Linked DNA regions of Oryctolagus cuniculus. The protein of the gene in region 1 binds, or shares a complex with, the protein of each later gene. Links are inferred from orthologs where the notes say so. Each region holds a gene or a part of one and is shown in the gene's direction. Other genes may lie near its edges. The genes, in order: CRB1 and PALS1.

Region 1 (3,822 bases):
ATTATCAATATAATTTAATACTCTAAATTTCAAATACAATAAATGAAAATACTCTAAATTATCAATTAAAAATAGAGTTTCAGATTGTATTTTAAAATCCTAGTTAATTTAAGGTCGAATTGCAGAAGCGCTCTTTCTAAACCTCCACTTTCGTTAAAAGGAACTGGAATATAGACCCTGGAAATCTTAGAAAGTCGTGGTGAGCATGAATATAAACATATAGAAGAAGGTGTGGGGAGAACCCAGAAAGAGCTATGCATTTGTCAGTTTTTGTTTTCACTATTCATTTGAATGCTGTTGGAAAAGCTCATTCTTCTCACCTTGATGAAGTCAATCCTAATAATTCGGTTATTGGATATTAGATATACTTCTTTGATTTGGAAGTAAGGAAAAGACTAAATGACAGTGAAGTCAAAACTATAAGCAGGAGCTTGTTACGGAATAGATGTCACCATTCATGGTAGAATTCCATGTTAGGAGCAAACGCCTCCCTTTCACTGTAGAAGCACTCCATGGTGAGAGCCTTCTACCAGCCTTACATACTGCAGACATTTGTTTAAGGAGTTGTGGGGAACTATAAATATGACAGAAGACAAAATCTTTATTCCTGGGGCTAGTGTTGTGACATAGCAAGTAAAGCTGCCACCTGCAACACCTGCATCCCATATGGGCACTGGTTTGAGACTGGCTGCTCCACTTCCAATCCAGCTCCCTGCTAATGTACCTGGGAGAGCAATGGAAGATGGCTCAAGTGCTTAGGCCCCTGACACCCATGTGGGAGACCCAGAAGAAGTGCCTGCTTTCTGCCTTCAGTCTGGCCCAGCCCTGGCTGTGGTGGCCATTTAGGGAGTGAATTAGCAGATGGAAGATCTCTTTCTATCTCTTTCTGTGTTTCTTCCTCTCTCTAATTTTGCCTTTCAAATACATAAGCAAATCTTTTTTTTTTTTTTAATAATCATTGTTTCCAAGTAGAATACAGTGAAATTAGCCATGCAGGGCATAACTGGGAAAGGAGCCCTCAAGCAAATCACATATGTCTAGCATTACCACTAGAACAGTCTTTCCTTTTTTGTCCCATTTTTATGATATCCAGTGCTGCGTGTGTGTGTGTGTGTGTGTGTGACACTTCAAGTTACTCACTGGATTTGGCATGTTATTTCTAAGAGAAAAATTCAAAGCCTGCCATGACGCGGGTCTCTTCACAATAGTTGTGGAGTAACATCATCCATTTCAGTTTTCCTCAAACACTATTTACATTCTGCTCCCTTACACTCCTAAACTTGAGTTAGCCCTGCACTTCTGCAAGGTTATGCGTGAAAATTATATGAAAACTCCTTTTCCGATCTATTTGTTATATGTGTAATTATAACTTAGTCTTTATTTGTTTAACAGGAATACACTGTGAAGAAGACATCGACGAATGCTCTTCAAATCCTTGTCAAAATGGTGGTACTTGTGAGAACTTGCCTGGGAATTATATCTGCCGATGCCCATTTGATAATCTTTCTGGAATCTTTTATGGAGGAGAGAACTGTTCTGACGTGCTCCTGGGCTGTGCCCACCACCACTGCCGAAATAATGGCATATGCATTCCCCACTTCCAAGATGGCCAGCACGGATTCAGCTGCCTCTGTCCATCTGGCTATACAGGGTCCCTGTGTGAAATCATCACCACATTTTCGTTTGAGGGCAATGGCTTCCTGTGGGTCACAAGTGGTTCAGATCCCCCCGTGGACTCCGTGTGCACCATAGCCCTCAGGTTTCAGACTGTTCAGCCAACCACACTTCTGCTTTTCCGAGGCCACGGGGACGTGTTTGTCAAGCTGGCGCTTCTGAAAGGCTATGTTCACTTGTTAGTCCAAGTCCGTAATCAGTCCAAGGTGCTTCTGTACATTCCCCACAACACCAGCGATGGGGAGTGGCATCCCGTGGAGGCCACGTTTGCAGAGGACGTGACTCTTATCTTAAAGGACAGCTCCTGCAAAGACGAATGCATCGCTACAGCTCCATCTCCATTTCTAAGTCATCAGTCAATCTGTGCTTCACACGACTCCTTTCTGGGTGGTTTCCCAGTGGGCGCCACCAACAGGACCATCGCCCTGCTGAACATCTCTGATATAGCGCCCACACCTTCCTTTGTAGGCTGTCTCCAAGACATTAAAATCGATTTGCATCACATCACCCTGGAGAACATTGCACAGGGCTCTTCACCGAATGTCAAGGCAGGCTGTGTGAGAAAGGACTGGTGTGAAAATCAACCTTGTCAAAACAGAGGACACTGCACCAACCTGTGGCTTAGTTACCAGTGTGATTGCTACAGGCCCTACACAGGCCCCGACTGTCTGAGAGGTGAGAGAAGGCTGGGTGCCCAGGAGCGCCCTGCCGCAGAGCAGAGCAGTCACAGTAGAAACAGCCGGCCGGCTACTGTCCGTTACAAAATATAATGACCCCTCAGGACGTCCGCTGCTGGTTGCCACTGTTGAGGACAAGGAAGAGGGCAGCGATATGCATTAATTAATTTTGAGTGGATTCATAGGACATGAGTTTCACTCATGCAGAGAGCTAAATAAGCACGTAGCTCCTAACCAAATGAATTTGAAGCTTGTCAATGCTATGTACTGGCATAGTATCTTGTGCACAGTAGTTTCTCAGTAAATATTCACTTCCTTCCACTTTTTCAAGTATGTAATTCATACTTGCTCCAAAATCATGCTTAAGTTTAGTGCATTTATAAATCTTATCTTATTCACACTATCTTTTTTGGAATTGCATTGGAGAAAACGGATATTCTTCGTAGGTTTTTTCTTTCTTTTAAATATTTATTTATTTGAAAATCAGAGTTACCTAGAGAGAGAAGGAGAGGCAGAGAGAGAGAGAGAGAGGTCTTCCATCCACTGGTTCACTCCCCAGTTGGCCACAATGGCTGGAGCTGCACTAATTGGAAGCTAGGAGCCAGGAGCTTCCTCCAGGTCTCCCACACGGGTCCCAAGGACTTAGGCCATCTTCTCTTGCTTTCTCAGGCCATAGCAGAGAGCTGGATGGGAAGTGGAGCAGCCAGCTCTCGAACTGGCACCCATATGGATGCCAGCACTGCAGGCGGCCGCTTTACCTGCTACACCACAGTGCCGTCCCCCTTCTTAGGTGTTTTAAGAAAAAAAAGGATGAGGGGAGGGAGGGGAAGGAGTTAGAGAGGGAGAAGGGGAAAGAAGGAAAAGAAGGAAGAAGGGAGGGGAGGGAGGGAGAAAGGCATGAAGGAGGGAAGCAAGGGAGGGAGAGAGGAAGGAAGGGAGAAAGGAAAGAAAGAAAGATAACAACAGTAACACTTGGTAGATGCCATAAACAAGTTACCTAATTTCTCTACCTAATCACAGTGTGCAATGTACTTCAAAATCCTTAATTTTCAACAACATTTCAAAGATTGCTGTTGATAGTGAGCAATGCATACCTGTTTCTTTTAATTATTATTATCATGCACTAAAAAAATCTGTGAGGTAATTGTTACAGACTGCTTTGAAGTTGAGCTGTAATTTATTCCAAGATTTCAGAGTAAGCTGAAATAGGACAACATCTGGTAAATAGTCTTCCCTGTTTTATATGAAGTAAAATTAAAACCAGTCTTAGCCAAGCCCTGGGCCATGTTCAGATGGCTAAGAATTATTAGAAACTATTCACGGGTTTCCCCCCACGACAGCATTCATTACAAATCGTGGCCCTGTTTGACAATGAGGTATGGCATCTCGTAGCTCCATGTAATATTTTAAGTGGAGTGGCAAGTTGGTTAGTGATTTTTTTAAGGGAGAAAAGGGGAAATTATGCTGAGGC
Region 2 (3,822 bases), on another chromosome or scaffold:
GCCAGAAAAATCAGGTTAGATATATGTTTACCTTAGTAAGAGGTTTCTTGAGTCTTCGTCTTTAATCATGTTTAAATTTGTGTATCAGAACTTTTAAGAAATAAATTTGTGAAAAGAGTGATGTGAGAAACAAAAGTGATTTCCTTAGGACTATAAAGAATGGACCACAGGGCTGATGTGATATGCCAGGTTAAGCCACTACTTACAGTGAAGCTGCACTTCTAGTCAGCTTCTTGTTTAATGCACCTGAAAAAGCATGGAAAATGGCCGAAATGGCCCAATGATCACCTGTGTGGAGGACCCAGATGGAATTTGAGGCTCCTGGCCTCAGCCTGGGGAAAGGAACCAGCAGATAAAAGATTCATTTTTCTCTCTCTCTCACTCTTTCAAATAAAATAAATTGCTAAAAAATACAAAATTTAGATATTAAAGATTTTTTTATTATTTATTATTTATTATTATGGAAAGCTAGACTAAAAAATGATCTATGAACAGTTTAATAAGAGTAGATACACTTAAATTAATTGGGGCAAGCATTTGGCACAGCAGTTAACATGTTGCTTGAGATACCCACCTCCCATATAAAGTCCCAGCTTGACTTCTGATTCCAGCTAATGTGCACCCTGGGAGGCAGCAGACAGTAGTGACTCAAGTACTTGGGACCCTGCCACCCATGTGGAAAACAAGGATTGAATTCCTGGTTCCTGGTTTTGGCCTGGGCCAGCCCAGATGGTTGGGGCATTTGGGGAGTGAACCAGCACATGGAAGAGGGGTGTGTGTGTGTGTGTGTGTGTGTGTATCTTTACCTTTCAAATAAAATGAAAAAAAATTTTGAAAAACTTGTTAAACAATTTGAATTATTTAAAATATGTACTTTGTTCAAGAAAACATGCCATATTTATTAATTCATTTGATTGCTCAACAGGAAAACTATGGTGTGCAAAGAAAAATAAAAAGAAAAGGAAAAAGGTTTTATATAATGCCAATAAAAATGATGGTAAGTTCTACTCTCAGGTGGTGGAATTTATATCTGAAGGGGTCTGAATCTAATAATACGTGAACTGATATTTTCATGAAGTTTTATTTCTAGTCCCATTTTGCCTATTAATGGAATATGTGCTTGAGAAAATTTTTCAGTAGGAATTTTCTTTTGGAGTCCCGTGAGTAATGCAGTGTATAATTGGGGGAAAATGGTATAAACATTAGAGTACTATGTAGTATATGTGTATGTGGTATAAAATTGATGGTTTCCATTTTTTTATTATTTAAACCTGTAAAATTAACACTTGCTTCTAACAAGTTCTTTAAAAACAGATGTATTTGAAGTAAAACATAACTCACGTTACAGAGCCAATCCATTCCACAGAGCCCACTAACTGAGTGAGGCACACTCTTTAATTGACTATTAAGATTAAAAAGATTTAAAGTCATTGCTGCCCTTAAAATCAAAAGCTCTGATGACCCTGGGCTTGTATTCCCAATGACAAGTCCCCTGGACCTGACAGATGGCTATTGCCCTACCATTGGGCACCTTTTATTTAGTCAAATAGTTTCCACCACTCCCAGTTTCTTATACACTAATGAAGATAAAATGTTTACGGATGGTTGAGATATTCCACACAAAGCTAAATCTGAGATTTGAGCCACTTTAATAAGCAGCATATTTAATTCCCTTCTCAGCACATGTTTCTCTCAAAAATACCAGGTTTCTTCCAATATTTATAATATTTATAATGTGGTAACATTTTGATTTACAAATTTGGTTTGTGTATCTGTAGCTTTGCCAGTGCTCTGCACAGAACCTGTGAACAGTTGCTTTGAACACTTATTCTGGGCCAGGCTCTGCTGAGCGCTGACAAACCTAAGATGGGTCTCTGCCCTTGTGGAATCTAGTGCTGACTGGGTCTCATACATGAGGCTGCTGCGTCCCAGTCAGGTGAAGTAATAGGAGTGAGGGCAAGGCAGACTGCTGGTTGTCTGCTTTTTTTCTTGCCACTTAACAGCTCTGATTTCATCTGGATAATGGGCTTTAGGAATGTTACCCCACCCATCATGACTCTAGGATAGTGTTCCAAAATAAAGTAAATATAAATGCAGAAAGTATGAATAGCATGAGTATGACCTGTTAACAAGTTACACAACTACAGGAAAGTTTTCCAGCTTCTCTGATAGCTGGTTATAGCAGTGTGTAAATACCTGTGTCAGCTGTTGTGCTCAGCATGTACATTCTGTCTGATCCTTGAAACTATCCTCTTGAGTAGAAGTATCTGCATTGTACAAAAATGACATAATTTTTCTCATTAATTTATATAAGGGTCAATACAACTTTTTTAGCCATTCAAACAATATGAAACAAGATAAGCTGTAAAAAAATTCTCAAAAGATTAGTAGTATATTGTTAGATTCATTTTCTTAGTGTCCTGGCAAAGCTATAAGGACATGGGAAAATGCTCATGATATAGTACTACCATCTACTACCATCTTGATCCAAAAAGTTAAGTATTTTAATGATAATAAAGTGTCCATAATTGGGGGTAGGGTGAGGAGGGACAGATCTGTATATCATTATATGGCAGTAATCTAATTTGTCTGAAGAGCTAACTTTTTCTTTTCCAAAGATTATGACAATGAGGAGATCTTAACTTATGAGGAAATGTCACTTTACCATCAGCCAGCAAATAGGAAAAGACCTATCATTCTAATCGGTCCACAGAACTGTGGCCAGAATGAATTGCGTCAGAGGCTCATGAACAAAGAAAAGGACCGCTTTGCATCTGCAGTTCCTCGTAAGTTTGGATGCGCTCCCATTTTCCTGTCTACTCAATTTACCTGCACCCTCGGAACGTAACTGTGAAGGGAGATATTTCATCAAGGTTGTCAATGAAAGAGGATGTTTGTTTAACCAGATGTTTGACAATTTTTTAAAGATAGTTGTTCTTGAAAAAGACCTGGAAGAAGCTCTTGGCTCCTGGCTTCAGCCTGGCCCAGCTCACGCTGTTGCGGCCATTTGGGAGTGAACCAGCAGACAGGAAATCTTTGCCTCTCTTTGTCTATAACTCTGCCTCTCAAATATTTGTATATGTATATATGCTTTTTAAAGTGGAAGCATAAAACATATTAAGATAATTAGGGGAGAGTGATTGCCATAGAAGTTAAGGTGCCTTAGATACTCATCCTATGTCAAAGTCCCTGAGTTCAAGTTCTGGCTTTAATCCTGATTCTTCTTTTCTGCTAACGTGCAGAACCTGAGAGGCAGCAAGTGATGGTCAAGTAGCTGAAGTACCACATGGGAAACCTGGATTGACTTCCTGGCTCCAGGGCTTTTAGGGAGTGAACCAGCTAGCTGATGGGAGCTCTGTCAGTCTTTGCCTCTCTAATTAATTAATTTTTAAAAATGGAGGGCTGGTGTTGTGGCATAGCAGGTTAAGCCTCCGCCTGTGATGCTGGCATCTCAAATGGAGGTAGGTTCACGACCCAGCTGCCCCACTGTCGATTCAGCTCCCTGCTGACGTGCCTGTGAAAACAGTGGAGGATGACCCAAGTGCTTGGGCCCCTAGACTCCTATGGGAGACCTAGAAGTAGCTTTAGGATCCTAGCTTCGGCCTGGCCCAGCACTGGCTGTTGGGGCCATTTGGGGAGTGAACCAGTGGATGGAAGACCTCTTTCTTTTTCTCTTTGTCTCTCCTCCTCTCTGTAATTCTACCTTTCAAATAAATAAAAAATGAATCTTAAAAAACATATTAGGGTAATTAAATGTAACTGTTAAGGTAATACACATTTTTGTTCGTTCCTCAATGAAGGTGTAAATACACTAGCTCTTAA

Evidence for each region.
Region 2: the proteins of CRB1 (region 1) and PALS1 are in contact, whole or in part, in a crystal structure (PDB 4UU5), measured with the Homo sapiens proteins. The link is inferred for Oryctolagus cuniculus from reciprocal best matches to the Homo sapiens genes CRB1 and PALS1. Residues at the interface, in NP_957705.1 of Homo sapiens: Ala1401, Met1402, Glu1403, Arg1404, Leu1405, Ile1406; in NP_071919.2 of Homo sapiens: Lys261, Pro266, Leu267, Gly268, Ala269, Thr270, Val271, Arg272, Asn273, Ser281, Arg282, Val284, Val314, Asn315, Val317, Phe318, Leu321.

What each region holds. Positions count from the first base shown.
Region 1 is NC_091444.1:13,699,895-13,703,716, forward strand, and holds part of CRB1 (protein crumbs homolog 1), read left to right. Parts: intron 1-1,392; coding exon 1,393-2,349; intron 2,350-3,822. UniProt on the Homo sapiens protein: Plays a role in photoreceptor morphogenesis in the retina. May maintain cell polarization and adhesion.
Region 2 is NC_091451.1:13,174,748-13,178,569, forward strand, and holds part of PALS1 (protein PALS1), read left to right. Parts: coding exon 1-14; intron 15-925; coding exon 926-997; intron 998-2,618; coding exon 2,619-2,786; intron 2,787-3,822. UniProt on the Homo sapiens protein: Plays a role in tight junction biogenesis and in the establishment of cell polarity in epithelial cells.